3 linked regions of the Pelodiscus sinensis genome follow. The protein of the gene in region 1 interacts with the protein of each later gene in a pairwise test. Links are inferred from orthologs where the notes say so. Each region holds a gene or a part of one and is shown in the gene's direction. Other genes may lie near its edges. The genes, in order: MAD1L1, BAG5 and USP15.

Region 1 (10,680 bases):
GACACTTCGCCAAAGGATTAATGCCCACAAAACAGATATCAGACAAGATCACAAAGAGAAAACAGTTTCTTGCCACTTTAACCAGAAAGGACACTCTCTAAATGACTTAGCCACCTGCATTCTGCTACAAAGACCTTTTACATCTGCACTTGAAAGGGAATCCTCTGAACTGTCATTCATGTTAAAATTCGACACTTATCACCAAGGACTTAACAAGACTTTGAACTTTCTCACCCATTACCAAGACAGTTTCCCCAATTATCACCTGTAATACCATTAACTCACAAACATCCCACTCTCCCTACCTTTAATATCAGCAATTCACAGACACTTACCTTCCTTCCTCCCCCTTCCCACCCCCCCGCATCCCCCTTCTGTTCTGCAATGTGATTTGTCCTTTTCATATTTGTTCATTTTTTTTAATTGTATCCTTTGGTATATATGGTTGTGACTACTTTCTTCCACTATTTGATCTGAGGAAGTGGGTCTGGCCCACGAAAGCTCATCATCTAATAAACCATCTTGTTAGTCTTTAAAGTGCTACATTGTCCTGCATTTTGCTTCAACTACCCCAGACTAACACGGCTACATTTCTATCACTATTCTTTTATGTGTAGACACTCTCTTTTGGAAGAAGTTTTTCGGCAGATCTCTTTCGGAAAAGTTTGTTCCGAAAGAAGCCTGAAGACTAGACTTAGCCCAAGAGGCCCACCTGACCTCATTTTCCTCATGCATATTAATTCCTTTTTCTCATCTTCGCTGCACCTCCATTCTTGTCTTTCTCACGTGCAAGCAAAGACTACATCAGACCCCACCTAGCCCCTGGCTTCAAGTCTGTAGCCTCATGGCTCCTCTCCACAAAGGTGCAGACATAACCCTATTTACACTCTCTTACCACTTACACATATCCATGCACTCCCTTGTCACAGGATAGAATGTTACAGAGCTTAAAGATTATATAAGCAATAGCTGGAAGTTACAAAGCTTGCAAAGAGGTTGCAGAACTTGAAACATTACTTGAAAATTACATGGCTTGCAATAGAAACTGATATAACTTAGAATAGTTGAGAGTTACATGGCGTACAATAGAAAGTTTTGGGACTTGCAATGGCTGAAGCTGACGACTTAAAATAACAAAGTTACCTGACTTACAATAACAGAAAATTACATGTCTTACATCCACATTATACCAGCTTGGGCGGAGGTTTTACACAACAGTGCGCACCCACTGTCTTCTTCCCTGTGGTGGTGGTAGGCGCGCACAGCATGCTGCCCTGCTTCCCCATGGTGGGGCTGTGAGGAGGTGGCTTGGCTCCTATGGATGTGAAGGACCTCAGCCGAAGGTGCGAGGCTGGGGATGGGGCTGAGGGCTTGCCTCCCCCAGCCCTACCTTCACCAACTGCCTGTGCTGTAGCCTCTGTTTGTCAGAAGCTTGAAATGGGCAACAGGAAATGGATCACTTGACGATTCTGTTCTTTTCATTCTCTTTGGGGCACATGGCATTGGCCACTGTCAGCAGAGAGGATGTTGGGCTAGGTGGACCTTTGGTCTGACCCAGTATGGCCATTCTTATGTATAAAACCTGCCCGTGGGGGATGGGAATAAAAATAAAACACTACTTAAAGATTTGTGTACATGTGTGTGTTTCAGATTTCTACTTTGTGATCATAGTTATACTTTGAACTAAATGCAACGCAGCTGTCATGATACTGAAGAGAAGGCAGCTATCATTCAGTTTTACTTCTGAATTTTTCCTAAAAGTGCAATTTATTAGCACATTGTGCCAAATAACTATATGGGCTGAAAATTTCCATGCCAACTATCTGCCTTAGGCTGAAGTGGTTAAACTGTTTCTAAGAGAGAGGCTAGGAAAATGCATGTTTGCCTGTCTTAAAAATGTTGGGTGACTTATTCTTTGAGAAGATCTGTTGTGCTCAGGCTTTGGAGCAAGGTCTTGAAGCTTATAAGAAGAGTAGCTTTCTTGTCATGGATATGCCTTTTGTTGTCCGCATGACAATCCAACCACATTTAACCAGCTCAACAAGCCTCTGAAAAATCAGTTTTTGCATGTGCTGAGTTGAGCCCTGTTAGAGCTTGGTAGCTAAATTCCCCGAAGACTGTTTTCATCTGGTATGCTTCTATCTGAGCTGAGCAGGACTTTTTCTGAAATTAGAATTCTAGGCTACTGAACCCCAACGAAAGCAAAGTGCTGGAGACTCTCTCATGCAGCATCAGGAGAGAGCTGGTCAGAATCACTTGTACACACAGTGGAAGCGTAACTGGGAATCCCAGTTTAGCATTGCAAGGAAGTTTACAAGGTATATATTTTAGTTACTGTAATGTATTTTGGACTTTTGCTTAAACACATGGTTTGATTAAACTACACCCTCTCTCTAGTGTGGCTCAAGCTAGCAGTGGGCATCCTTAATTCTTTTTTTTAGTTAATTCTTTAGTGAATTGCTGAGTTTCCCACCTTCATATTCATCAGTTCTAGTCAGAAGGGGCAAAGGTGCAATTGCATACCAAGCCCGAGGAAAGAAAATGGAAGTGAGAATTCATAAATTCTTTATCTGCTTACAGAGGGACAGCACCAGGAGCTTAAAAAGGTTCTTCATTCCCTTTAGGCTTTTTTGTTTTCCACTGCCCATAGTGAACCTTGAGCATATTTGCCTACTCCTGACAGCAGTAATGCTGGTCACTGACTTCAAATCCAATGTAGACACAGTTATATTTGCTACTGAAGTTGTTAGTCTGTGGTAGCACTTTGCTTTGAAAGCTTAGTAGAGAATATGTGATCAGGTCTGGCTGCCCGTAGGTGCAGCCTGTGGTGTGTATCATCCTAGGAGTCCCTCCTGATATTTCTGTCTGTGAAGAAGTGGCAGGTGAAGAAAATCTGCAAGTGCCCTGGTTCAATCCAATAGAGGAAACTGCACAGTGCAATAAGTGGCATGTAGGCATTGTTGTCACTATGGTCAGGAGTTGTGAAGATCTGGATGGATTGGGTGGGTTACTCACTCTCCTGTATGTTGACAACATAACTTCTAGTATGGTGCCTCCCGCCTTGTTGGAGAAGGGATGGTCACTGGCAGTGTGCCCTCATGTCCTTTCTGTAAAGGATGTGTCTCTTATTAGAATCACTACTTTGTAAACATTTATATTGCACTAGAGCTTAGAAGCCCAAAAAGAAATCCAGATGCCGGGGTATCAGACTCTCTGCAGTGTTGCAAAGCGGCAGCGCTGCAGAGCGTGGGGTCAGTTAACTGCTTTGAAAATCTGCGTGCAGCCCAATGCTGGGCTTCCCATGGCATTTCAAAGTGGCAGCACTACACAGAACTGGGGGTCAGCTGGGGAGTCCCCAGCTGATCCCGGGCTCCATGTGGTGTTGCCACTTTAAAATGCCACATGCAGCCTGGGGACATTCCAGATGGCCCCCAATTGCACGTGGCTTTTCAAAGCGGCAGTGCTGCATGGAGTCCAGGGTCTGGCCCCCCGGCTTCAAGCAGCACTGCTGCTTTGAAGTGCTTCCTCTTCTTTCCCCCTTGCTACCTCTACCTCATAGAGACAGCAAGGGGAGGAATCAACTAGTCAACTATCCTGTCAACTATTGGATAAGCATTTGCTTATGGGACAGTCGACTCGTCCCTATACTGAACAACCACAGCCTGAGCAAGCTGGTCAGACAGACTTGCTCTGGCAGAGTTGAAACTGGAACCCGGTGTCTCAACTCCTACTCCAGGGTCTGAATCACAAAATCATCCTCCCAGATACAGCGTTGCCATGGCACCGTCAGTTTTTACTCTACCACACTGGGGAAATAGGAACTTTGTGCATGCGCCTAGCGGTAAGAGGACCACGGAGCTACCCCTGGACGCACGTATAACCCGAATATTACGGTAAAGTGTGTGCGTCGGGGGGGAGGAGGCGGGGCGGGAAGGTTCGTCTCGCGGGAGCTGGGTTCGAGTTCTCGTGAGATCTCGGGGCAGGACGAGGAGGGAGATCCAAGCAGGAGGCGGGGAGCCGGCTGCTGTGGGTGAGTGCGAGAGACCCGCGCGCTGTCTCGCGCCCCGGGCGGTAATCGGATTGGCTCGGCTCCGCCCTGCAGTTCCGTGGCAGCACAGGCGTCTTCCCGCCCTGACACCCCCCCCTCCCGTCGGGGTCCCGCGCTCTGACCCTGACCCCCCCTCAGGCAGCGCCCCTCCCCCTGTTCCCTCTGGGGCAGCGCGGCAGGGCCCCTCCCTCACACTGACTCCTGGGGGGGGGGCAGCAGCAGAGGGTCCCGCCCCCAACACTGACCCTCCCCAGCCGGGGCAGCCAGGTGGGATCCCAGGGGAGCAGCAGCACCGTAGGGTCCCCCTCGCTGGCGCTGAGCCTCACCAGACACCCCCAGCGACTCTCCCCTGGGGCGGCAGCAGGACACGGCCCCCTGTGGAATTCCCCCTCTTCTCCCGGGGAGCAGCGCAGGGCCCCATCCACCCAATACTGTACCCACCTGGGGCAGCAAGGCAGGGCCCTGCCTCACGTGGGCATCTGTACAGGGTCCTGCCCCTTCACCTCGGGCACAGAACCTCATCCCTCAGGGGAACAGCCCTGCCCCAATTTAACCCGGTCTCCAATCTGCCATGTCCTGGGGAGGGGTGGACACATCGCTTCCAGATTGGTGCACATAACAAAATTCATTCTGCTGAGGGATGTGAAGTATTAGAGGGAAATATGAGGAGAGGTTAAAGCGACTGGGACTTTTCAGTTTAGAAAAGAGGAGACTGAGGGGGGGATATGATAGAGGTATATAAAATCATGAGCGGTGTGGAGAGGGCCGATAAAGAAAAGTTATTTATTAGTTCCCTAAATAGAAGAACTAGAGGACACCAAATGAAATTAATGGGGAGCAGGTTTAAAACTAATAAAAGAAAGTTCTTCTTCACACAGCGTGTTGTCAACCTGTGGAACTCCTTGCCAGAGGAGGCTGTGAAGGCTAGGACTATAATAGAGTTTAAAGAGAAGCTAGATAATTTCATGGAGGATAGGTCCATAAAAGGCTATTAGCCAGGGGATAAAATGGTGTCCTTGGCCTCTGTTGTCAGAGGCTGGAGAGGGATGGCAGGAGACAAATCGCTTGATCATAGTCTTCGGTCCACCCTCTCTGGGGCACCTGGTGCTGGCCACTGTTGGCAGACAGGATACTGGGCTAGATGGACCTTTGGTCTGACCCAGTACGTCCGTTCTTATGTTCTTATGTTCTTATGGTGGTGACCTCCATACCATACCACTCTTAATTCTTAACTGCTGCTAGTGGCAACACTGCCTTTAGAACTGGATGCCCGCCTAGCAGCCATTACTCTGAAGGCAGGGCAGAAGTAAGTGTGGCAATATCATGACACCCCTACGATAGTCAAATTTCATAGTCTGTGTTGCAGTTTTTCACACCCATGAATTTGGCAGGGCCCAATGTATATGAGAAGAATGTGGACTCGAGCAGGGGTTTTCACAATAAAATTTGTGGTGACCTCAGAGTGCAGCCACCAACTCTTGCTGGTGGCTGCCCTGGCAAACCTGTCTCTCTATTTCTGCCATCTGGGAAAGTGGGTCATGAACTCACCAACTGTGTGCAGTGTCCCAGGTTTCCTGGGCAGCAGTGGGAAAGCTACCTGGAGGAGCATCCCAGAAACTAAGAGCTGCATGCACTGTGTCTCCAGAGGCACTTCCTCGAGCCCCTGAGGAGGTTGTGCTGTGCAGGACAATGCTCCCTACTGGCAGTGCCAGTGTAAACATGAAAGCGGCACATTTTGCTGCCCAGGAGCAACAATTGGGCGCTGCAAGGAGGAACTGCTGCTTTTGTCCCCATACTCTGCTTTGCCCTTCTATGCTGTAGAAGCTATTGTGGATGCAAAATAAATTCTAAAAAAACCTTCTTGTGGCTGTATTTGAGAAATGCTTTTTCAGAATGACTTGAAGAAGGGGGTATGCTTACCTGATGTTATAGCGGTGAATAAGATTGCCCTGGATGTTTCACTTTTGCCTTTGTGTGTCTGTGTTTTACAGCAGAGAGCTCACCATGGAGAACTCAGAGGACAATACAACTGTGTTCTCTGCCTTGCGATCTCTCAACAACTTCATTTCACAGCGTGTGGAGGGGGCATCTAGTCTGGCTGCACCAGGATCACTTCCAAGTACCTTGCATATGCAGTACCAGCAGAGGGTTCAGGTGAGACATCCCTGGTTCATTCACACCTGGAGTTAAGAATTTAGATTTATTTTGATATCAGGCATGGGAATTTTTTTAGTTAAGAAACAGAGGCTGTCCTTTCTTACATTGCTATCCCAACATTGCCAATGATGGAGACAATTTGCTCCCAAAATAAAACTCTTAAACCCATTCATTTAAGAAAAAAGTAAGTTATGGGCCTGACTCTTTGTCCTGGTCAGTATTCAATTGGTTTTCTTCAATTCTCTCCCTTTAACTTATCTGTAGGTCAACTTAGGCAGCTGTATTTTGATTTCATCTTGCCCCCATGACTGAGCTTAACTGATGGTTTGCTCGGGGTGATGGTCAGTTTTTCCTGCCTTGTCCATTTCTTTCTTGAAAACATACTGTTAGGTGTGCTAAACTATCCATGGCATTTTTATGATATTGACTCTGAGGACTGAATTGAGATCACCAAATTAATTCTATTGGGGACCTCAATCTGGACCAGAATTGTAGTCTTTGAAGCATAAATTTTAATTTACTAAACCAGTCTTCATGGATGCTATAGCGATGGACACTTTAGCAATGTCCAAGATGTCTTACACAAGTTTTGAGTTTTGTAGCTTTGTTATGGATCTCTAATTATGTGTCTGAGTGTAAAGTAAGGCCTTGGTATCTTTATTTAAATTTCCATTGCATTTAAAATTGTGTGGCTGGGTCCCTGGGGACTTGGTAACCTATTAGCTAGGTTGCTGAGTAGGTGGGCAGAAAAGGGGGAGGGAAGCTGGCCCTCTTACCACTGTGTTTCTGGCCCAGGAACTCCCAAGCCATTCCCTGTTTCAGTCTGGGAAATGGATTCAAGAGTCCAAATTCTTCTTACAGTTTCAGTTTCTCAATATGTTCTCCCTTTTCCCAGAGGGGTGGGGGCTTACTTGTTCCCATGGCTGCTGGATGGACAGGATCTGGTTCATGCCCTCAGACCCACAAACCAAGCTCCTGCCTCCTCACTTTAGTCAGCTCCAAACTGAGCCATGTTCCTTCCTTTTCTCCTCCTTCTAGGCCTAGCATCCTTGCAGGTAAAGTGAGGTGGGGCTAGCTGAGCCCAGAGGTTTCTTTAACCCCTGGGATGCTTGACATTCCTTTCTCCACTCCCTCAACATTCTGACTATAACAGGGGTGACCAGCCTAAACCTGAGAAGGAGCCAGAATTTACCAATGCACATTGCCAAAGAGCTGCTTATATATCACAGCCCTGATCATATCTCCACACCGCTCTCAGCACATCCCACCCACTGGTCAGTCCCTCCTTCTCCTTTTCCTCCTGCCCACTGTGATCTGCTCTTTCTCAGTGGGAGACACTGGAGGAGGGAAGCATGAGTGTGACAGGCTCAGTGGAGAGAGTAGGAAGTGGCAGGATCCTAGGTGGACAGCGCCTAGGGCAGAGCTGGGGGTTGAACAGTGAGCACCCTCCAGCCCAGTGGAAAGTTGGCACCTGTAGCTCCAGTCCTGGATTTGGTACCTATGCAAGGAGCCGCATATTAACTTCTGAAGAGCCGCATGTGGCTCTGGAGCCACAGGTTGGCCACCCCTGAACTATAATATTTGAATGTCCTTAGTCTTTTTTTTTCTGTGTTGTAAAGTCTTCAGTGAAAATATGTTCTGATTTAGGATTCTGATTTAACATGGAAGAAGTATTAATGTGTTATAAACAGGGCTCGCCAGCCGCGCGGTTCTGCTCTCTGTGCATGCGCAAGTAGATTACATTATTTGTCGAGCCCTGGTTATAAAGACAAAGTATTCTGTGCATCCTCACAGCACTGAAGGAATTAACAGGAGTCCTGGTAGTAATTTTGCACACACAATGCATTCTCAGAAATAAAATTTGGTTGTAACATGTATGTCAGACCTGGTACTTTGCTCTACACTTAGTTTCCCAGATGTAGGTATTGGGCCTGATCTCTGTTCCTTGGCTAGCTCCTGTTTCTTTTTTGAAAAGGCCAAAGAAATCTGAAATAAGAATCTTTTTTTAGTTTTGTGTGTTGTAAGTGTATTCTAGAAGCAAACTTCTCCAGTGATTGGTGTGGGAAATTTGGACCTCAAAGTTCACCCACATGTCTATTCTCAGCTGTCACTGATTGACTTTGTGGCCTTGGACATGTCATTTAACTCTTGGTCCTCAGTTTTCCCATCTTCTAAATGGGTAGGACAATACTTACCTGCGCCCATCTATGACATGAAGGGTTAAATATATAAAGTTTGTAAAATAATTTGAAAGCCAAATCTGGAGAGCACTGTAAAAATGAAAAGTATCATTGCTGTTCTGCTGATTGTGTGTTTTTGTGTCTATCTTCACGTGGAAACTGATCAGTTAGAGGAACAAGCTGAGCAGATTCATTCCAAATCTCAGCTCTTGCAAGTGGAACGGGAGAAGATGCAGATGGAGCTGAGCCACAAAAGAGCTCGCATTGAGCTGGAGAAGGCAGCTAATACTAATGCCAGGAGTTATGAGGTAGGTAAGCATTCGTGCTGTCTGGCAGCCAAGGCTCCAGTCATAGCATCTTGAGATCATTGAAACTGTTGCATGGCTGACAGATAGTCTGATGTTGATCTGACCACTGGATACTCTGTAAGTTTGTTTATTTAGCACTCTGCTCATCAGTATAAAACAAAAGGAGATTCAGGTCTATTGCATTACACTTTGATTATTTCAGAAGTGTTTAAACTTTATTGGCACAATTGCAAACAATTAGTATGTTTGACTGTAATGAACTGGAATGATAACACCAGTCATGTGACTGTCATACAGAGAAGCTGCATTGATAAGATGCTGAGCTTTAGTTGTGACTAATAGCTTTTGTTGCCTTCTGGTTGTGTGCCCAAATGTGTTTGCTTCGTTATGTTGCTAAAATAAGCAGCACAGTTTGTGGGCTGTGTCATCCTCTTAGTGCCTCTTCAAAATTCATCTGCTAAAATAAATAAAAAAATAAATCTGGCAAAATATTATAAGGATTCTGAAAGATAGATTTATTCTATAGCTGTGAAATAGTGGGTCATTGAGTAAATTCCTAGTTCTGCTTCAAGTCACGTGATCTTGGGATTAAGCCAGGAGTGGTTCAAACCTGAATCTAGCTGAGTCACTCTCAGAAACCCTTAAAATACTGGTACAAAAAGGGAGCAGCACTAACTCAGCAGAGTGGTATTACCATGCTCAAATTCAGTGTTTCATGAGTCATGTGGATAAAGGTTTCAGGAATCTTGTGTTGTCTTGCATAATTCTTGCTTAGCATGTAAATCTGTGGCCCAAATTGCTTTGATTTAGCAGAGAAATTTATTTATATTTTTCAGTAAGTGCTACTCAATTTGAGAGAGAAACAAACTTGAAATGGCATGTGAAATGTTGTCAGAATGCCAATAAAATAATCTGGCTGAACACTCCCCCTCCCACAGTTGCCAACTCCTAAATCTACTCCCATATGTTGGTGGTTTCATTGCACTGATTATTTATATCAGTGTTTCTCAACCTTTGTTTATAAAGTATCCCCCCTTTTTTATAAAGTACCTACAGTTTTCAGACACACTTTTTTTTTCCTACCATTGCAACACATTTGTTTAAACAACTTAATCGTAGCTGGGCGGTGAAATTTTAAAGCACTGTAAAACTTAAAACAAAAATTCAGTTTTCTCCACATTTCAGTTGTGTTGACATACCTCCCCAGACTTCTCTCAAGTACCCCTAAGGGTACTCGTACCACTGGTTGAGAAACACTGGTTTATACTGTGTCTTTAAGAGTTACTTATTTAAGATTAAAATATTTAGATTTAAAATACTCTAATGCACATAGAAATTTCAAAGAGAAACGGATTTTGTTACTCCAGATATTAAGGTCCCAGACTCAGTGAAATAAACTTGTGTAAGTGTAATTGATGTTTGAGCACATGTAAATTATGCTGTGCAAACCATGAAGCCATCTCTGAGTTTTAAGTTCATACATCACTTCAGAAAGTGCTGTCTAGTAATTCTTTGGCTTCATTACCCTTTGTTTCATTCCCTTGTCATTGAAAAGCTGCCAGTAAGATATTAGCTTTTCTACTGGGGGGGGGGGGGGGGGATGGCTAGCCTGCAGGGGGTTTTCTGGGATACCAGTGGTATCCCAAAAAAACTCCGCTACGTCCAGGGAATGGGTTTGCTCTTCCACTTTTTTTTTGCGGAAGAGCAGTTGTGCTCTTTCAGAAACCCCTGTATTCCTTGTTCCACAAGGAAGAAAGGAGCTTTCGAAAGAGGGTTTTTTCTTGAAATTTGGCCCAGTCTAGATGGGCCAAATTTTGGAAAAGCCTCTTCCGACAAAAGTATTGGAAAAAGATACGCAAAATGCGGAGTGCATTTTGTGTATCTTTTTCTGCTAGATCTTTGCAGTCTAGCTGTACCCAGGGGGAGGAGGGTTTAAGAGATTAGTGTTTGTTGTTAGGGTTGCCTGTGAGACTATAGGGGGCAATGA
Region 2 (10,680 bases), on another chromosome or scaffold:
GCAAAAAGTTAGGCAGCTCATTTTTAATTGCACTCCTCAGTATAGATAAATAAATTTAATAGCAAAACACACTATCATACTGAAATCAGTTTAAAATCAAGAGATAAATAATTGCAAAACCACATAATTTAACCATTTTTAAAGGTAACAATTAGTTGTAGTGCTTGCAAATATTCTGAACCGCTATATAATTCAAAACTATCACAGTTCAAGGTCACTATACAATGCAATTGTGAAAAACCTTTCACCCAGACAAGGAGAATAATGTTTTTATCAGCTATTTACACCACAAGTTCTTAAGTAAACACAGCACCACCACTAAGTGGCCTAGTATCAACATGCTCACCTTTCTGAATGACATATTCTGACTTGCCCAGAATTGTTGATTCCAAATTTGAGTTTCCTGTCTAAATTCTCTAAGTTTTCGTTCTAATGGTGATTCATTTTTAGGAATATGAAATATTATTGGTCGGAGATTTGAATGTCTGTCAGGAGGACCAATCCAATCATTGCAAGAACATGCTGGCGGGCAGAAACTTGAAGCCTTTAAAAAACAAAACAAAAACACCCCACATATTTAATTCTTTTTTTTAAATTTAATCAGAGCATTTCTTTAAAAAGTACAATGTTTTACACAGCTGAGTCAAACCTTAAAATACAATCATGAAAACATAAAAGTTGTGAGAGTTCAAGCTATTTTGATTTAACTTTACACCACTAATTTATATATATATACACACACACACACACACACACACACACACACGGCTTGACAAACGGCAGCGAAACCTACTTGCCAGCCCCGCACTGCGCATGCATGTGCTGCTGGTGAACGGGGCGACCGGCTGAAATCTACTCGCCTGTGACGATAGATTCAGTGATTTGTCAAGCCGTGTGTGTGTGTGTGTGAGTGTGATTTGTCAAGCCGTGTGTGTGTGTGTGTGTGTGTATATATCTAGAGAGAGAGAGAGAGAGAGAGAGCGCGCAATCTGTCAGAGAGGTACAAGTGACTTTGGGACACACAAAGAAACCATTAGATCACACTTTCACTTCATGTCCTGGACAGACTGGTGTATTCATGCATTTGATGGCAGCATAGGAGACTTGTGTACAGGATGAGCCTCATATATATTTTCATTTGCTGGTGTCTTTGTAATTTATTCTTTGCTTGTGTATGCTTGTAAGAGTACACAAAAGAAGTATTAACCAGTGGGGTAAGGAGAACTCCAGGCTACTAACTGTTAATAATTCACTTTTTTTATTTTGGACAAGTAACCTATCTTCTCTGTATTGCAAGTTCCTCAATCTACAGCACCTGGGTGATATTTATGTCAAAAAAGCATTCTGAAGTACATAAACCATTCTCACATAAAAGACAAGGCATATCACACTATAAATTACTGTCTGCTACTACTACCACCAGCAGCATTTTTAAACTTTAAAAGGAACAAAGTTATTAAACACCACATTTTTATTTCTGCATTTATAAATCTTAGCTATAGCTCATAGGCAGGTGAACTAGCAATCATATGTGGTTGCTACATGGGGACAACACACAATGCATAAAGTTAAGTAGATGTATAAATACTTAGACTGAGTCCCTAATCTGATGTTCTATCTTTAAAGAAAGGAATGAATAGGTAATCCCTGGACTGCGTTTAGAAAAAAAATTCTAAACCTAGGGTCTTGTCAAATCAACATTTAGAACTTTTTTTTTCCTAATTCTAATATTCTGAGGAAATTCAGCTTGTATAAAGATTCTCAAACTCTAGCCTCTATTTGTGTGATAATGTAGTAATTGTCTAGAGTTGGATTACAATATAAATAGGCTTGGAAGGACTGGATCTTTGGTGGTAATGTCAGTAAACATCACTTTCAACATATACACACACACCAATTAAAAAATATTTCCATCAATAATGAATTTTATAAATATCCAAAGGAAGAAAAATGTTGCTTGAGAACTTACTACAGCTCAATTTAAGGATATTTACTTTGTATATTTTAACAGAATCATAGAAACATAGGGCAGGAAGGGAAATAAAGAAGTTATTTAATCCAATCCTTTACATGAGGCAAGACTAATCATTATCTAAGCCACCCCTGTTAGGGATATAAGCAACTAGACCCTCCTCCTCTATTAGAGGCAGCAAGAGCCAGTGCTGTGGGGAGCTGGCTTAAAAGCTGGTTCCCCTCAGCACTTGGTCTCCATGGGGGGCAGAAGGACTGTGGGGACTGGCATGAGCCCAGCTGTCCTGACTCGCCCTGAGTCCCCAGTGCTGTACACAGCCTTTTAAATGTATTAAGAGCCAGGAGGTTCTTAATACATTTAAAAGGCTGATGCACAACAGTAGACCCCTCCACCCAAGCTGGCAAAGCTTATTCCTGGCTCACACTGCCCCCCCCTTCCCTCACTGTGCTTCTCCTTTTTAAATGTATTAAGAGTCTACCAGGTCTGATTCCAAATTGATTGCTGGTTCCACCAGACCTTAATGTTTCCCAAGCAACGCATTAATTTATTTGCTAATAAAGAACCACATAGAAATAAAGAGCTGGAAATGAGATTTAATGAGACTTCCTTGTGACCCTTGGAAAATGGTCAACTACAGGCTATTAACATTTTTCTAACAAAACCTATTCAAACAATTTAACAGGAAATTCAAGTAAAATCCTATCATGAGTTAATGAGATGCTGACAGAGAGAAGCCCAGGTAATACAGGGAGACATGATAACCCAGGGAAAATATAGCCCTAGATTCCTGGCTCCAGCTCTGTCCCCCCAACATCTCCTCCTCAGAACCAGGAAAAGAATCCAGGGCTATGTCTAGACTGGCATGATTTTCCGCAAATGCTTTTAACGGAAAAGTTTTTCTGTTAAAAGCATTTGGAGAAAAGAGTGTCTAGATTGGCACGGACGCTTTTCCGCAAAAGCACTTTTTGCGGAAAAGCGTCTGTGCCAATCTAGACGCAGTTTTGCGCAAGAAAGCCCCGATCGCTATTTTCGCCATTGGGGCTTTTTTGCGCTAAACAATACTGCGTTGTCTACATGGGCCCTCTTGCGCAAAAGCATTTGCGCAAGAGGGCTTTTGCCTGAATGGGAGCAGCATTGTATTTCCGCAAGAACACTGAACCTTACATGAGATCGTCAGTGTTCTTGCGGAAATTCAAGCAGCCAGTATAGACAGCTGGCAAATTTTTCCGCAAAAGCAGAAAAACTTGTCAGTCTAGATGCAGCCCAGGAGTCCAGGCTCTAAGTGTCTGGTAGATTCACTGCCAACCAGAAAAGGGAACAAAGCATATGAGTCCTAATGTAACAGTGACAGAACCAAACATGGGACTTGTGGAGCTTACTACAGGAATCTCAAAAGGGGAGGGGAACCTTTTTTTGGGTTGAGGGCCACTGACCCACAGAAAAGTCAGTTGATAGAATTTCCATCCACTGCTCCATTAGTCAGGCACTCCCTATCCTGCTACACAGCTGCCTTTGAAATGTACAAGAGTGCCTAGGGCTCTTGTACATTTCAAAGATGGAGCAGTCAGGACCATCAGCAGCAGTCCCTGCTTGCAGAGTTTCCTTGCTGCACCTTTGCCTCCCCTCCTCCCCTCTCCAGATGGTGCTGGGGGGGGGGGGGGGAGATCAGCTTTTAAGATGGCTCTCCCCAGCACCAGCTCCTGCTCCCCCCCCCCTTTTCTGCCTCTCTCTGATAGAGGGCAGGGGGAGAGAAACAACTAGTCACATATCCTTAATAGAGGAAACTCATTATTCTCTCTGTAAGTAGTCTAAGTGTCACTACACCAGCGAACCACACCCAGCAGGCATGTGGGTTGTACTAATGCCCAGTCCCCAGCTTGCACCCAGGAGAGCCCCAAACCTGTACCCAACATGATGGACAATGGGGCTCCCCGCGGGTCCCCAGGGCCAATTGCATGACGCCAGAGGCAAAGGGGGAGGCCGCCCTCCTGAAAAAGAGCTAGAGGTTTGTCCGCCCGCTCTGCCCATTGGGATCCCCGCAACTCGGCGCCCACTGGACCTCAACGCAGCCCAGGCGGGGCGGGCTCTCCCTGCCCCAAAACACGGGGCAGGACCTCGAGTTCCCAGCGCTAACCACCGCAGCCCCGGCCTCAGGGAAGCCTGCCCCGCACCCTCCGCCTGTTTACCGGGCTCTCCGGCTTGTGGCCGCGCACGGGCCCCTCAGCGGCCAGGCGCCCCGCGCCGCCCCCTGCTCGGGAGAAGCCGCGGCGCGAGCCGAGCCACCAACGCCCCACTCGAGGCGCTGCGCCCGCCATCGCGCCTCACCCGCCTCCCCGCTGGCGGCGGCTTTACGGCCATGTCGCAAAGGGAGGGCCGCCCGAAACTTCTCCCTGAGGTGCGGCAGGCGGCGCAAGCTGCGGCCTCCGGGAACCCGGGAGAGCGGCTCAGTCTCTTGGCTGCGCAGCTCCGGTCACCCGCCGCGCTCTTCCCTCTGCGGCCCCCGCCGGGTGAGGGCGGGCTGGGGTTCCCGGGCTCGGGATAGCCGCCGTTTGGCCCGCGGTACAGGCCGGTTGGAGGGGCCCGCCGGGGGGACCCAAGTTCTGTCGGGGACGGGGGGAGAACAGCGCCTGTCGGGCCAGGTGAGGGGCGGGGGCTCGGAGGGAAGCTGAGCTGGTTGGGGGGCGGGGGGGTTGGCTGCCTGGAGAGTGGGGGCAGCTGATGATGGGGAGTTGGCGGGGAAGAGGGCCTGGGTGCCGGGGCCCTGGGGATATGGAGGACGGGGGAGGGGAGGCGGGGGGGGTCTCCGCGGGGGGGCGGGGCTCTGCGATAAAGGAGACGCTCTCAGCCGCCTGAGGCCCCCGCTCGGTGCCGCCCCCGGGCTCCGGCACGCGCTCTCCGTTCCCCCGGGACGCCCCCATTGTGAAGTCATCCCCTGCTGGTGGCGCGGCCCGGCGGATCCAGGCTCCTCCTGCAGGGATGTAGCGAGCCCGGGCTCCGGGGGGGATCGGGGCCTGCTCCAGGGGATTGTCTTCCTCCAAGGCTGCTGGCTAGGGTAGGCGCCGTCCTTCATGCTGCGGTGGGGGCTGGAGACCTCAGGGCCAACTCCGCATCTCTATCGTATGCAGGGGCCGCGGTACTGGGGATGGTTGTGGTCGCTGCTTGAGGACAGGCAGGTGGTGGTGGAAGGAAGAGGGGGCCTCAAATGGGCTGAAAAAAGCGATGAAAGGCGAAGAGGGGAACGTGAGAGAGATTAGTGAAGGGCCGAGGGGTGTGGATGAAGGGCCCTGGATGAGGTGCAGAAGTGTTTAGGGGTAGTTTAATGTGGGAGAAGGGTGCCAGGTGGTGTAGACAGACAAAGGATGCTGGATGGGGGAGAAGGCTGGTTAGATTTGCTGAGGGTACATAGATATGGGCACAAAGTGTTGACAACATTAGTTGCCTCAGCAGTGTTATAATCCCTATTTTGAGTAATGCAAGTGATTGAGAGGGGAGTATTTACCAGTTGGGGGGGAATCTTGCACTAAATTAAGAATTGGAGGTTGCCTCCTTAATTTTCTTCATTATTGAAATAACCCATTTTTCTGCATTGATTGTAAACATTATAGCTCTGAGAGTGAATAAAAACTTCTAGCTGTGTAAGTTCAAGTGTATATCATTTAATAGGAGCTTGCAGACATCATTAGAGAGAGATGTACAAAAGAACAGTGACATACTGTATGGTTTGAAGTTAAGTGCGTCACTCTTTTTAACTTTCTCGTACATTCTCTGTACCTTTAAGTCAAGTTAATTTATTAAATATTTTAGTGTCATGAGGCTTTATAAAAGTTGTTGGAATTATGAAATATTTGTTTAAAAATTTATCAGTCATTCTTGCCTCCTTTACAGCTCATTTGAAACTGGAGGAAATAAGATAATGGATATGGGTAACCAACACCCTTCCATCAAAAGGCTTCAAGAAATACAGAAAGAAGTCAGAGATATTGAACAGCAGGTGGTGATTTTCAGTGGCCTGTCTTCTGACAGGGATTACAAGAAACTGGAGAGGACTCTGACTAAACAACTTTTTGAAATAGATTCTGTAGATACTGAAGGAAAAGGGGATATTCAGCAAGCCAGAAAACGAGCAGCCCAGGAAACAGAAAGACTACTCAAAGAATTGGAGCAGAATGCAAACCATCCACACAGACTGGAAATAGAGGCCATATATAAGGAAGCTCAGTCATTGGTGGAACGTGAAATCACACCTTTTTATAAAGGTGGCAACTGTATAACTGATGAATTTGAAGAGGGTATTCAGGATATTGTATTGAGACTTACTCAAGTGAAAACTGGAGGAAAAATCTCGCTACGGAAAGCAAGATACCGCACTCTGACAAAAGTGTGTGCAATTCAAGAGATTATAGAAAACTGTATAAAACAGCAACCTTCCTTGCCACTCTCCAGTGATGCACATCCTTCAGTCTCAAAAATTAACTCTATTATGTGTGATGTAAACAAAGCGAGGGGTACTCTTATTGCAGTCTTAATGGGAGTAAATAATAATGAGACTTGCAGGCATTTATCCTGTGTGCTTACTGGTCTGGTTGCTGATTTGGATGCGTTGGATGTTTGTGGCCACACAGAAATAAGAAATTACAGAAAGGAAGTGGTGGAAGAGATTAATAAATTACAGAAATACCTGGATTTGGAAGAGGAAGCAGACTCTGCTCATGCTTATGACTTGGCACAAAATCAATCCATTCTAAAAATAGAAGAGATCCGCAAAAAAATGAAAGAAGTTCATTCTTTAATTTTCAGAGCAGAAAATGCTTCTGATCTGTTCTTGGGATCCAAGGCAGAACTTCAAGGTTTAATTGCCCACTTGGATGAAGTGAGTCCAGGAAAGAACCCATGCATCAGAGAAGCCAGGAGAAGAGCAGTGATAGAAGTGCAAACTCTTATAACATACATTGATTTAAAAGAAGCACTTGAAAAAAGGAAATTGTATGGTGAACAAACTGTTGTAGAACACCACTCCCATAAGGCAGTCTGGAGTGTTCTTGAACATTTGTCTCAGATTCAGAGGGAAGTGCTGTCTTTTGATGGAAACCGAACTGATAAGAACTATATGAGACTAGAAGAGCTCCTCACTAAGCAACTTCTGACACTTGATGCTGTTGATCCACAAGGAGATGAACGGTCTAAAGTTGCCAGAAAGCAGGCAGTAAAGCTTGCACAGAATATTCTTTACTATCTAGACATGAAAACAGATGAATGGGAGTACTAGGAAAATAGTGGCCTCATGTAAGGTGTTGCTTTCCTTTTTTGCACTTTATGTAGACTGATAGCTCCCATGAACAGCACATGATTAAAAGTTGTGTTTTTATATTCGCTCGAATTGTGGAGATGATGTAAATAGTTGGCTTGAATATATGGCAGCTATCCCACATTTTTGCCCACTTGCCATGACAATTGTCAGTACACCGTTTTTTCCATTTTGGTCACTATGTTATGTGAGAGAGATGGTTTTCTTGAGGAATTGCATAAGTATCAGAATCTGTAATATTTGGTCAAACTGTTTGGTTTTTCTTCAAAAAAGCATGTTTCTCAAAGATGCAGGAATTTACTTAAGATACAGTACTAGAAAAACAATGAAAAGAAGACTGGAAATTTAAGATTATTGGCCAAATGCAAGGTTAGATCCATCAGCTTTACACCAGCATTGACATATTTATAATGTATTGTTCTAATCAAAAGATTAAATATAAAAGGTTGGCTTTTCATTTGTTTTTGATTTGGTTCCATCCATTTCACCTTAATGTGTTTTTAGTTTTATAATGTAGCAGTATTGTAATATAGAATGACTTGGTTGTGTCCATTTTCTTGTGGCACTGGGCATCTAGGAAAGAATCCCTCAAGTTCAGACTGTCCTCTTATTGGAAGGTAGCTATGAGACTTGAAAGACAGATATTGATTAGATAAATGAGAGATTTTTTTCTTTATACTGCCATCCATAAATCCCTGAAAACTGCATTGAACTATCTTTATTTGCCATTTAGCTATAATATAACTCAGTTTTTGGATCTGGATTTGATGAGTCTTCTAAAACAACCAGTGAGAATGAAAATCACTTTAAAATGACTTAAGTCAATGGGTATTTCTGATTTAACCATGTAAATACAGTTCATCACAAATTGTTCGTAATGTATGTTACATTTCACACTGGCCATGTAATCTCAAACATAAGACTCAGAAAAGGCTTGCTTGTTGTCTTTTCTTTCAACTCAGTAGCAGTTAGGTTAGCCCTGCAGCTTGTTAAGTAAACCAGATCATATTTCTGCATGCGCTTTCCTCTTCTTTGTGGATATAGGAATTTAGTTGCCAGTATCATAATTCTACGCTATCATATTTTGGTATTACACAGAATGCTGCTCTAAATGGAATAATGGGTCCAAAATGTGTTGTTTCCCACAGAGCTCCTTTCATGTTAGAGTTATTGCTTTGTAGAGGGTTATTTATTTGCAACGTTTTAACAAGTGTAAATTTCAGATATTACACTGACTACAATAAATATTGGATATATATTAATACACATTAGAGAAAATATTTTTGTGAGATAAGTGCCTTTTACTGACACCCTAAAATTATATTGTTACATATAAAGGAACTCTTTGTCTAATGGCAGCATGCTGCATTTAGTTATCTCTACCAACTGGATTTTTCTATTTACTATTCAGCTATAATACACATCAAATTAAATAAAGTGATATTTTAGGAGTCAGTTATGACTAGAGATTTGAAAGTGGGACTTTCACTCAGGAAGTTCAGATTTTGTTCCCAACCCCACACAATGATTTGCTTAGTGACTTTGGACAAGACAGCCACACCTCAGATTGTAAGAAGGGGATAATAATGTTTACTTACCTTTTTATAAAGTGCTTTGAAATCTCTAGATGAAAAGAGCTATATACTTTCAAAGTGATTTATTTTGATTAACTGATTTTTTTTTTGTTCTGTTGACTTCTTTGCAAATCATTTATCAATGATTTCTTTAATTAACTATAGTCAATATGTCATAGCCCAATACTGATGATGCATTATTTGGATACTTCTCCTTGTTTGTTTCAATTAATGCAGGGCCTTACTAGTACCCACACTGCTTCTCTTTTTCTTTAAATCACATCTGAGTTGAACTGTAATTTCAGTCTATTTTTGCATTTCCTATTTTATTGGCTAACACAAATTACTAATGGTATTACACATCTGAATTATTTTGTTCATATTTATAAAGGTAATTTAAAACTCTGGGAAGTACTTTAATTGTAGATATAATTTCTAATATGCATTTGTAATATGTGACATGTAACAGTTGGATAATGTTTATTATATTTAACTCCTATGATAATTGTTACTGTCGGGTCTCTTCAATTGTTAGATGTACAGCCCTTGTTTTAAAAAAAAAAATCAAAATATTCATATTCCTCTGTAGGTCATGTGAAACTTTTTAGCATTTCTGATTTTTTTCTGTAAAGGTAAATAAGATACTTTATATTTCTTTCCATTTAAGATTTGCTTATCTTAGCTTTTGTGAAAGACTGAATCTCTAAAAAGGAAAATGCATCAGAGTGGTTGAATAATGATTAACTCAGTAGATTCCCATACCAACATACTGTGTTAACTTGGCTTTTAGCTTTAATCATCTTCTGCTCATGAGGTAAATGTGCAGCATTTAAAAGTTGTGGAGTTCCTAATCGGTGCAGTATTTGTAAGCAGTTTCTGCATGAACAGTAAACTACATAAGCTAAACCAAAAAAAGTTTGGTACATGGATTTTACGGAATCCTGTTTCTGTGCTGAAGAATGTAATTTTTGTGTTGTATACATGATGACAGAGAAACACACCTGCTTTCTGACAATTAACTATCCACCAAGGTGTAAAAGGACCAACTCATCCAACACCTATATTTTTATTAAGTGGAATATACAGATTTTTGTGGGTGGGGTACTATTACATGTTTTCAAAGAAATGAATGGGGGTGTATGTGTGTGATGTCTTGAGAAAGTTGTAAATCATGATACTTATTAATTTATAAGCAAGTTTGATTTGAAGTAGCTTAGTCTCGATTTTGTGGCAACCCACAACCATTTTCCCCCTTCTTTCCAATTTAGTGGAATTTGGTTTTTTTAAGTATGCTTAATGGAAAAGTTTGTAATTAATTATTGTATGTGAATCTTCTTTAAAGTGTGTATATCCACATTTATCTATATTCATTAAATTACATAGGTACAAATTCAAAGTTAAATGTTTTATTATATCCTTAATTATTAATAAAATGCTTTGTTGCCTTGTACTCACTGTTGACTTTAATGTTCTATTCTATTGCCTTTTTTCATAAATTTAAGAATGCTAATTATCAGAATATACGATAACTGATATTTCCCTGACAGAAAGCTCAGATTTTTTCTTAAACATATAGAGGAAAGTTTCTTATTTTTTATTTTCCTAAAAAGCATCAGTAAAGAAATTACATTTTAAAGTTCAAACTGTGGGATTCATTCATCTCCCTGTTAAATCTTCTTCAATCTGCTGTATTACCCAGACTGCACATAAAATAATAAAATAATTTTTAATTTTCATTTTATTCAGTGCCAACCTGTTCATGGAGTCTCTTATTTTGGTTCTCTTATGATTGTATAATCTAGTATTACCTTGTACAAAACCATCACAGT
Region 3 (10,680 bases), on another chromosome or scaffold:
AATTGGCTACAAGCATTGTTATTGGTGTGAGACCCAAAATGCAATTGATCTGATGTGACTAATCCTTTGGCTATCAGGAGTAACCTAAATATTGCTGATTCTTGGTATAAGGGGCCATTTATCACAGAGATAGGCTCATTTAGTTGGCAGGACAGACCAGTGTACCCAGGAACACTGACATCAGATTTTAAAACTGGTATTTTTGACTAGTAGTTTCTACATTCTAAAATTTTATAGAATCAGCCAGCTCACATTTAAAAAAAAATATATAATTAAGATACCCTTGGCTCTGGAAGGGTTTTTTCCCCTCTTTTTTAAAATTCAAAATAGTTAATTCAAGCACGTACATAGCCTGAAGTGTAACATTTAAAGTTGGGGGGCCATGCTGGTAGGAAGGTTCAGGTCCAGTCTCTGGGGGATATGAGGCCTTTAGGAATTGTTGATTGAAGAGGAAGCCCACCTTGAACTCAGTCTGAAATGGTTCCTATCCCATAGGACTGATTCAGCTTCCTCCCCTAGCCAATCCCCTCTTCTTCCCCCATTCTGCTGCCATTGGCTTTCACTACAATGTACAGGTGAAGGTCTCCCCTGTGATAAACTGGCCATGGTGCCACTGGATCACCTGTCCCAAGCTGGACTGTGGCAGGTCAAAAAGTAGCTGGGCCATAGCCCTCTGAGTCTGGCACCTATGCAACTACTGAGAGAAGAGCTTTACAATAGGGACATAATATCCTGGTTAATCAGTTTAGCATTGAAATGTTCTGATTAATTGCTTAACAGATTAAATGGGGCCTGCGCTGGAGCTCCCCTCCTGGCCACGGGCTGGGGGACTGCTCCAGCCAGGCCAAGCCCACCGTGGCCAAGGGCTGCTCTGGTGAGGCTGGGCTAATTGTGGACAGAGGCTGCTCTGGCTGGGCTGGAGCGCCCCTGCCTGCACTGTGGAAGGTGCCTCATAGCTGTAACAGTCACCTACCCATTGCAGGCGGGGAACTGCTCCAGCCCACTGATTAACGGTAACCAGTAAGCATGAACCAGTAAGGGTGATGCTTATCAAATATGGTTAACCATTCATGGGCCTGTTCTCTCCCCCCGAGTGCTCCTCTGGCCGCTGGGGGCATTTTCTGTTCCCCTTCCTTCCCCTGCCTGCCCAGGGCATTTTCTATTCCTCCAGCACCCCCATCCTGGTCCCCAGAGGTGTTTTCTTCCCCCCCCCCCCCCCAGCAGTACCACATAGCTGAGAACAGCCTCTTTCTCTCCTCCGGTGCTGTGGCCAAAGGCAGGGAGGAGGGCAAAGGGTTTGGGGCAGGGGGACTAGTTACCTGGCGTGTTTGCAGGCAAGATAGTGGAGCCTCAGTGCTGCTCGCCACTCCCTTGGTGATATGGCTTCCCCCGTAGGATAGCTCTCTCCTGCGGGCTTGCTGCCTCTAGTGGCCACTTTCAGTATTGCATCCCTTCAAACAGGACCTCCCCTTGCATGTTATAGGAAACAGTCCTGTTCCTGGGCCTTCCGGTTGTCCTGGCACAACCAACCCCCGACCTTGCTTTAAGTTAGGAGAAAAGGAAGCTGAATGCCAAATATGGTAACCCTACCTCTAACTGTTTAGGACAGTGTTTCTTAAATTATGTTCCGTGGCACACCGGTGTGTTGCAAGGCAGTCGGAGTAGTGCCGTGGAGAATAACAGAGTTCAAAATGGCTGCCCTTAAAGGGGTGGGTGACTTTTTTTTTTGCTCAATAACTTTTCCCCCAACCTTTTTTTCCCCTCAATAACTTCCCCCTGACCTTTTTTTTCCTCAAAAAATCCTTGATGTTCCTCATAAAAATAATTATTGTTTGGTGTTAAAAAGTTTAAGAAACAGAAAGACTTGCAGATAGACACACAAAGATGCACTCTAAATTATATATAGAGAAGATTACTTCATATTCATAAAGCATTTGAAGATACAGAATACTGCGTAAGGGCTAAGTATTTATGGAAATATTTTTTAAACATTGTATTACATGTATTAAATAAAATAACCCCAATAACTCTTGAAGAATAGACTTGTTAAAAAAACAACCTCTTTCTCGCATGTAGGAGCTAAATATTAAACAGTTTCATTTTCAGTTATCCTAATTCTTCAGCTGAGACAGAGTTCCAGATCTATTCATTGCAGATCAAATACCCCATCTGACTGTACAACCATGCAATAGGCAGGAAGGTGGAGATTGCTTCCCTTAGTGTTATTACAACAGTCAACTTGATCCCATTACAAGACAAAAATTAACTTTTGTGCAGCCTTGTTACAATCATTAGTTCTCATGCTTCTCAGCTTAGGCTGAATAGGTCATTTATATTAGTTCTAGAATAGCCACCAGCAACAAGCTATGTACTAGGGATGATAAAAAACATTTATTTTTGTAAATATGTAATTGCTGAATTTTTTAGTGGTTACACATTTACATGCAGGGGGTCAGGCACCAGCTGGTGCTCACAGAAAGCAAGTTCCTCATGGGCATGGGCTTCTCCTCACCTTGCTGCGAGGTGAGGGGTTTGTGTAACTGTTAGGATTAACTGGTGAGCTCAGACTTATTGGTTAATTGTGTAAATGAGTACACACTAACATTCCTATTATGTACAAAGACAATATTTCTGTTTATTGAAACAGTTGCTCTTGCCCTTTCTCCCATTTATTCCTCTAAATAGATCATTAAAAAAAAATCTAATCACCAAAACATACCCTAGCTATTTGGAGGGCCACAGCAGCAGCCAAGGACAGTTCAGATATCTTTCTTGTTAGGATTATGATATCATCATCATCATCATCAATAACCATGGGCTCTATACTTGTTGGTGTCCAATGCCTCCCTATTTCCTTCCATCTTTCCCTCTCTAGTGCGGAGTGGCTTAGTTTCTGTAGACTAGCTCCGCACCAATCTACTATATCATCTACCCATTCTCTGTGGGGTCTGCGATATGCTGACCAAAAATGTGTATTTCCTTTCTGTATATTCATTGCTGTTTATTCTTTGAATTTTTTGCAGTTCTCTCCTCAGCAAACAACCTATTCTTGTATACTCAATTATCCACAGTATCCCGGTTTGAACAAGTCTTTAGTAGAATCTACACTACTGAATACATACAGCCAGTCCCCGAGTTGCAACGGTCGAGTTACGGTCGCTTTGTAACTCAAAGGGGTCCGAGTTATGAACAGATCGAGTTACGGCCAAGTGTTTGGCCCGTAACTTGTTCATTACTCTGGGAGAGGCTGTAATTAAAAGTAAGCATATAATACAATAGTAAAGACCATATGCCTAGTGTATACAATATTGAAATACATCTTTATGTAATTCCAGATGCTGCATGTAAATTAACTATTGATTTAAAGACAGACATATGCATATATACATATATACCAGGGCTATTCAACATGTGGCCCGTTTGTTTGCGGCCCGCTGTTGCAGTTTGGGTTAACATGGGGCTCATTTTTTGAGGAGTACAGGATCTTTCAAAAAAGGGTTTTTTTTCCCCTGAAAGAACCACATCTAGACATCGATTTTACTTTCAAAAAGCCCTTTTTCGAAAGACTACCGCCATTATACAAATGAAGCACGGGAAATTCAAATCCAGGCTTCATTTGCAATTTGTATCTGTCTAATTTTCATCCCTCTTTTGAAAGAGTGATGTAGCTTAGACATAGCCTGAAAGTCCCAGGTTATGTGGGGGAGAGGTCTTTTATTGGACCCACGATGTCAGTGAGAGAGACACTTGCCAGGCCTGGAAAAGGCGCCTGCCTTTGTTGGCCAGAGATTTTGAGACTGCCCCAGGAAACGTGTCTATCTCTCCATGCCAACAGACTAGCATGCAGTAAGAGACACCGCCTCACCCCACTGGGCTCTGGGGCTTTGCTGCCAGGATAGCGGGGTACTTTACGCTGGCAGGTGGCGCTCCCCGTCCTGCCCCAGACTGGCAGCTCTTTTTTCTCCACCCGAGGGGGTCTTCTGCGAGACCTCTCAGAGCTGCCGGAGTTCTACCAGGAACTCCTCCAGACTTGGAAGCTGTTCTCGGCAACCAGGTCCATTGTGACCATTGTAGGGAATAATTCTGGACACTCTGGATGCAGGTGAAAAAAAGTCAGAGGATTTATTACACACTCAGCGCTGGCGGAGTGACAACCAGGGGTTAACCTGGTGAACACTGGTTAAGCAAAACATTACAGTAGATTATATAGGCGGCAGATGGACAGAGGAGAAGCAATTTGATAGGGTCTGGAGGCAAGACGAAATGAGCACGTAAGCCAATAAACTACAAAGGTTACATAGCATCTCCGCGACGCAGGGCCAGGCGCACGCGGCTTGGAAGAGTCCAGACCTGTGATAGCGGCGCGTCCCCGCTCCCTCTCGCCTGCTCCTCCCCCCGTCACACCCCGCCACAGGCGGAGCGGAGCCCGCCAGCCCGCCAGAGGGCAGCAGCGGCTCCCCGCGCCCGCAGGTCACGCGCGGTCTCCCCTCTTGTCTCCGCCTCCCTGTTGCGGTGGCGAGGGCGTCTCCCAGTTGGCGTCACTCCCAGCATGCAGCGCGGCCCGCTCCTGCCCCTGCTGCCGCCGCCACCGCCGCCGGGGGGAGAAGATGGCGGAGGGAGGCGCGGCGGATCTGGAGACCCAGCGCTCGGACGTCGCGGCGCTGCTTAAAACCGCCCTGCGCAAGGGCGACACCTGGTGAGGGAGGGGCGGGGGGCGGCGTTGGGCCCTGGGGCGAGCGGGTTCCCACCCTGGGGCCGCTGCGCTGTGGGAGGTGGAGAGGGGCCGATAGGCTCCCTGCTGGTAACGGGGCGGGCCGGGCCCTGCACCCACCCACCCTCCCCGGGGGGTGGCGCCCGCGGCTTCAGGGGACAGCGGGGCTCGGGAGCGGCTGAGGCCGAGCTGCAGGTGAAGGTGGGGGCGGGGCCGCGTTGGCCAGCGGCGCTGACTCTTCCTGTGTCCATGAAGTCTGCCTCGGCATGGTCCGAGCTGCCAGGGCCCTGCGGCTGCCCGGAGCAGGTAGCTCCCGCCGCTCTGGCCCGAGCCCAGCTGGGCATGCGGGGGAGTTCCGTGTGGCCAGGACAATGAAGGGCCTGGGATTGCCGGGCGTTTGGCCGGCGCCGGGAAGGGGGCGATGAGCAGAGCTCGGTCCCTCCCTTCCCCCCGGCAGGTACCTGTTCCATTATTCAAACATAAACCAGGGAAATGGCCCCACCTGCCCTTTCGGGTAGCGACAGGTTTCATATTTGCCAAGCGGAGCATCCCAAAAAACCTTTCCCCCAGTCATGCTAGGCCTCGGGTCAAGCTTATCACTCCATAGCGTGAAGCCTCTGAAGGTGCTAGCAGACAGTGCTGTTTAATTGTAACTTTAATCTGTTCTTGTGTTCAGATGTCTTGTATCTTTAGGTTTCAGTTTTTTAATTGACAGGAGATCATACAAACTGCCTCATGCTTATGAAGCATGAAACAGATCTAGTAATTCCTTTTATTTGCTTGGTGTTCAGTTACAGGGAATTCTCAGATTCCTGGTTCCTAGAAACCGTCTCCTGAGTAAGATAACTTGAAAAATTCTTAGTACTTCCAGGAGGACTAATATCTTCCCTCCCATTCACACTCCTACCCACGCCCTGAAGTGTCACAAATTTAGATTTACTTAAAAGTAAGTGTGATCCTTAGAAATAGACCACCTACATCATTTTGACTTAATATGTCACCACTTGCTGTTCTAATTCTGTAAGATATGGTATTTAATGGTGGTGCTGCTAGAACATGTGTCAGAGCCATACATACATTCTGATGCATTATTCAAATGCTGATGAGTAGATATTCGTTTCTTGGCATAAGAACAAGTTGGTTTTAAACTCTGCAAAAGTAGAAGCATCTAGAAAAAAGGGAGCCAAGTATAATTAACATATTAATACTGAAAATAAGAAATAAGTTTGGGTCAGACCAAAGGTCTGTCCAGCCCAGTACCTTGTCTGCCAACAGTGGCTAATGCCAGGTGTCCTAGAGGGAGTGAATCGAACAGGTAATGATCAAGCGATCTCTCTCCTGCCATCCATCTCCACCCTCTGACAAATAGAGGCTAGAGACACCATTCCTTACCCATACGGCTAATAGCCATTTATGGACTTAACCTCCATGAATTTATCTAGTTCTCTTTAAACCCTGTTATAGTCCTAGCCTTCACAGCCTCCTCAGGCAAGGAGTTCCACAGATTGACTATGCGGTGTGTGAAGTAGAACTTCCTTTTATTTGTTTTAAACCTGCTGCCCATTAGTTTCATTTGGTGGCCCCTAGTTCATATATTATGGGAACAAGAGATGATTAATAGTGTTCTGTTTTGAAAGGGATTATCACTGTGACCAGTGTTTCTTGTTTAAGTGCAAGGAATTACACTCAAACCAGTAGTTTCTTCCATTTTGAATACTGTTAACAGTGGCCATTGTCTTGCTGCAGAATAGGAGGATAAAACAGTAAGTTTAACAAAAGTCGACTTTTGAACATGTTCAAAAAATTCTGTTGACTTAGATAAGTGTAAAGGGGCAGCCACTGTTGTTGTTTTTGCAGATACAGACTAAGTCCTGTGGCAACTTAAAAACTAACAGATTTATTTGTGCATAAGCTTTTGTGAGTAAAAACCACTTTGTCAGATGCATGGAATGGAAATGTATTTGATAGATATTAGTATAACGGTGTGGTCAAAATGGTTGTACAGGTTGAATCTAGTGCAGCGCTCTTGGGACCTGACCAGTGCTGAGCCAGAGAATTTGTGGAACCATGGGAAGTCAATATTTTCTAGCAGCAATACCAACACTCCCACTGCTTACTGGGCTCTTAGAAAACATTTAGGGGTAAATTAGAGCTAAATAACAGCACAGAAAATTGAGAGCCGGGACCAGTGGAGATAAACGTACTGCAGGAAATTTGGCCATACCCATGATATGTGGACATCTGGCTAACTAAAATCACTCTGGACCAGAGAGGTTCAACTATATTTTCTTCTGTATATAATATCAGACACTAGGTCTGAAATTTAGTATGATTGTAAAACTTCTGCAAAAAAACTGCTTATTTTAAGAGGCAGAGCAAGTATAAAAATGGATATGAACCTCTTACTGACATCAAGTGTTCAAATAGTAATATAGTAAGTTGGTAGGTTTTACGAAACAAGGTTACCTTTATAGTATTTCATAATAAGACTGGGTAGTAGCTTCTTTAGCATTGTTATAAGCAAGAAAGTAGGTCTGAAGCAAGCAGCATATCACAATTCAGAACTTTGGTAGTCATTCATACAAAAGAAAGTTATGCTGACAAAAAATGCATGCCAACTTCTATTCTAACTTACTTTGCTCAGGGTTAATGACTGGTTTACTCTGGCTAGCATATCTATATGTGCTGATAGTACTACGTGGCTACGTCTACACTGGCCCCTTTTCCGAAAGGGGCATGCTAATTTTACAGGTCGTTATAGGGAAATCCGCGGGGGATTTAAATATCCCCCGCGGCATTTAAATAAAAATGTCTGCCGCTTTTTTCCGGCTTGTAGAAAAGCCGGAAAAGAGCGTCTACACTGGCCCCGATCCTCCGGAAAAGGGCTTCAAAGTAGGAATCCTTCAAAGTAGGAATAAGAGAGCCTCCGGAAAAGGGCTTTTTTCCGGAGGATCGGGGCCAGTGTAGACGCTCTTTTCCGGCTTTTCTACAAGCCGGAAAAAAGTGGCGGACATTTTTATTTAAATGCCACGGGGGATATTTAAATCCCCCGCGGATTTCCCTATTACGACCTGTAAAATTAGCATGCCCCTTTCGGAAAAGGGGCCAGTGTAGACGTAGCCCATGTGATAAATATGTTTGGCATTTCAATGTACGTATTATTGAGCAGTAGTATAGCAGTTATGCATCCTTGATTGGCCTGTACCCTTGTTAAAATCCTATACATTTATGCTGAAGTAAACCTTTCCTTGAATACCTAGGAAAACTAATTATAGGACATATAGGGCAAGAGGAAAGGAAAGAAATTATCCATACAAACCAAGAGGGTACCTGGAATGCATTTGCTCTGAACAAAGATAAGGGTATGTCATTACGTAGTATGCATGGGTTCAGAATAAAAGATCAAGTGTTCACCATAGTACCAGAAATAAGGCAAAAAGTTGATTACATCCTGTTTTCGGTGACACAGGAGGGGTGGGTGAGATTCTGTGGCCTGTACTGTGCAGGGGGTCAGACTAGATGATCATAATGGTCCCCTCTGACCTTAAAGTCTATGAGTCTATATGAATGAGAGAGCGAGAGAGACATACAAACTTTTTAACAGGTAAATGTGTTGGTATACTGGTCTGGCTCCGGAGGGAGTTCAAGCTGCCTCACTACAAGGAAGCAGACTGAGTTAGTAGTCCTGCTTCAGGCTGGAGCTGCAACAGTTTGGCTAGTCCAGCCCATGTTTGGGCAGAACAACTGTCAAGATGCCCTAGTTCAGAGGGCCCTGGTGCCGGGGGCCTATATTCCAGCTGAACAGAAGTAAATCGGAGCAGCTTGGGCCTCTGCCCAGAACAGCAGTCAATCAGAGCAGCTTGGGCCTCTGCACAGATTGAGCGCCAGTTAGTATGCCCTTGGCCTAGCTCAGGGTGGGGCCACAAACAGCAGGCTCAGGCTTGTGTACAGGTTGAGTAATGGTCAGTAAGCCCATAACCTTGTTCAGGGTCGGGTGAGGAGCAGTGCAAGGAGTTCAAGCTAGGGTTCAGGCCTTAGTTCAGGGCAGGGCAGCAACAGGTTCAGGGTACTCGGCCTGTGTGCAGGCAGAGCAGGGTGGATAAAATCAGTGATTTTTTAAAAATAAAAAAATCATATTTTTTATTTAATTCACATTTTTTTAATAAAATGCTTTTTGAGGAAAATAATATCCCAAGATAGCTTTGAGCTAACACATACCTTAATTAAAACTATCTCATGGAATAGGGATTATGAATTCTAATTCTATAATATGTAACAATTAAGGAAAGTTTTGTAAATGAGTTCCAATAGTTCATGGATTAGGGACCCAATCTGATAAGGTCCAGAGGCTTCTGTATAGATCATTTAGGTTAATTTTTCTATTTACCCAATGGGGCTAATCTAGAAGATAACCTCAGAGATGCTTAGTTTTTCAGTTCTCAAACTGTGGATTTCATAGAATACTAGAACCTCGGAAGGGACCTCGAGAGGTCATCGAGTTCAGTCCCCTGCCCTCACTGCGGAACCAAACACCATCTAGATCATTCCTGAAAGATGTCTATCTAAACTATTCATAAATAACTCCAATCATGGAGATTTCACAACCTCCTTAGGCAATTTATTCCAGTGTTTAACCACTCTGGCAATTAGGAAGCTTTTCCTAATATCATAACTAAATCTTCCCATGCTGCTGCTTGTGTTATCAGAGATCAAGGATAAATTTTTTTCTCCCTGCTCCTTATACTGCCCTTTTTGGTACTTGAAAATTATCATGTTCCTTCTCAGTCTTCTCTGTGTCACGCTGCTGCTTTGAAATGCTGGGTGGAGCCCAAGATCATCTGGGGACTCCCCTGCTAGACCCAGGCTGTGCCAGCTTTGAAATATACAAGAGTCCCCAGAAGGGGCTCTTGTGCATTTCAAAGTGGAAGCACCCGCATGGAGCCTGGAGTCAGCGGGACTTCCCGCTGGCCCTGTGCTCCACGCAGCGTTCTGCCTTTGAAATGCACAAGATCCCTCACTGGGTCTCTTGTACATTTCAAAGGCAGAATGCAGAAGTGCTTATGGACTAGTTGATGAGCAAATTAATTGCTACTTAACATCCCTACCGAGAATCATATTTGCTTTTTTTGGCAACAGTGTCACACTGGTGACTCATATTTAGCTTGTGGTTCTTTATGACCCTTAGATCTTTCTGCAGTACACCTTCCTAGAGATTTGCTTCCCATTCTGTATGTGTGAAACTGATTGTTCCTTCCTAAGTGCAGTACTTTGCATTTGTCCTGATTAAACTTCATCCTGTTTACCACCAATCATTTCTCCTGTTTGTCCAGATCATTTTTAATCATGACCCTAATCTCCAAAGCACTTGCAACCTCTCTCTGCCAATATCTAAATCGCTGATGAAGACACTGAACAGAACCAGTTCCAAAACTTACCCCTGCGGAACCCCCACTTGTTATGCGGTTCCAGCATGAGTGTGAACCTTAATTACTACTCTCTGAGAAGAGTAATCCAGACAGTTATACACCCACCTTACAGTAGCCCCATCTAGGTTGTATTTCTCTGATATTTTGTGGATAAGGTCATGTGAGATCATGTCAAATGCCTTACTAAAGTCTAGGTATACCACTTCTTCTGCTTCTCCCTTATCCAGAGGACTTGTTTTCCTATCAAAGAAAGCTATCAGATTAGTTTGACATGATTGGTTCTTTACAAATCCATGCTGGCTGTTGTGTATCACCTTATTTTCCAGATGTTTGCAGATGAATTCCTTATTTATTTGCTCCATTATCTTTCTTAGCAAAGAAGTTAAGCTGATTATTCTGTAGTTTCCTGGGTTGATCTTCTTTCCCTTTTTATAGCTGGGCGCTCTATATTTGCCCTTTTCCTGTCTTCTGGGATCTCCCCCAACTTCCGTGATTTTTCAAAGATGATAGCTAAAGGCTCAGATACCTCCTCTATCAGCTCCG

Evidence for each region.
Region 2: the proteins of MAD1L1 (region 1) and BAG5 interact in binary tests that used the Homo sapiens proteins (3 or more experiments, as listed by UniProt). The two-hybrid records come from large-scale screens. The link is inferred for Pelodiscus sinensis from reciprocal best matches to the Homo sapiens genes MAD1L1 and BAG5.
Region 3: the proteins of MAD1L1 (region 1) and USP15 interact in binary tests that used the Homo sapiens proteins (3 or more experiments, as listed by UniProt). The two-hybrid records come from large-scale screens. The link is inferred for Pelodiscus sinensis from reciprocal best matches to the Homo sapiens genes MAD1L1 and USP15.

Annotation. Positions count from the first base shown.
Region 1 is NC_134726.1:28,511,747-28,522,426, reverse strand, and holds the start of MAD1L1 (mitotic spindle assembly checkpoint protein MAD1), read left to right. Parts: upstream 1-3,940; 5' UTR 3,941-4,030; intron 4,031-6,039; 5' UTR 6,040-6,052; coding exon 6,053-6,202; intron 6,203-8,552; coding exon 8,553-8,693; intron 8,694-10,680. UniProt on the Homo sapiens protein: Component of the spindle-assembly checkpoint that prevents the onset of anaphase until all chromosomes are properly aligned at the metaphase plate.
Region 2 is NC_134714.1:20,287,935-20,298,614, forward strand, and holds BAG5 (BAG family molecular chaperone regulator 5), read left to right. Parts: upstream 1-3,953; 5' UTR 3,954-3,977; intron 3,978-4,158; coding exon of another isoform or gene 4,159-4,287; exon of another isoform or gene 4,288-4,297; coding exon of another isoform or gene 4,298-4,330; exon of another isoform or gene 4,331-4,611; intron 4,612-4,789; exon of another isoform or gene 4,790-5,024; intron 5,025-5,857; 5' UTR 5,858-5,885; coding exon 5,886-7,238; 3' UTR 7,239-10,301; downstream 10,302-10,680. Other genes in the region: COA8 (cytochrome c oxidase assembly factor 8), read right to left, coding at 347-544, 4,159-4,287. UniProt on the Homo sapiens protein: Co-chaperone for HSP/HSP70 proteins. It functions as a nucleotide-exchange factor promoting the release of ADP from HSP70, thereby activating HSP70-mediated protein refolding.
Region 3 is NC_134711.1:59,323,122-59,333,801, forward strand, and holds the start of USP15 (ubiquitin carboxyl-terminal hydrolase 15), read left to right. Parts: upstream 1-4,529; 5' UTR 4,530-4,607; coding exon 4,608-4,696; intron 4,697-5,788; exon of another isoform or gene 5,789-5,879; intron 5,880-10,680. UniProt on the Homo sapiens protein: Hydrolase that removes conjugated ubiquitin from target proteins and regulates various pathways such as the TGF-beta receptor signaling, NF-kappa-B and RNF41/NRDP1-PRKN pathways.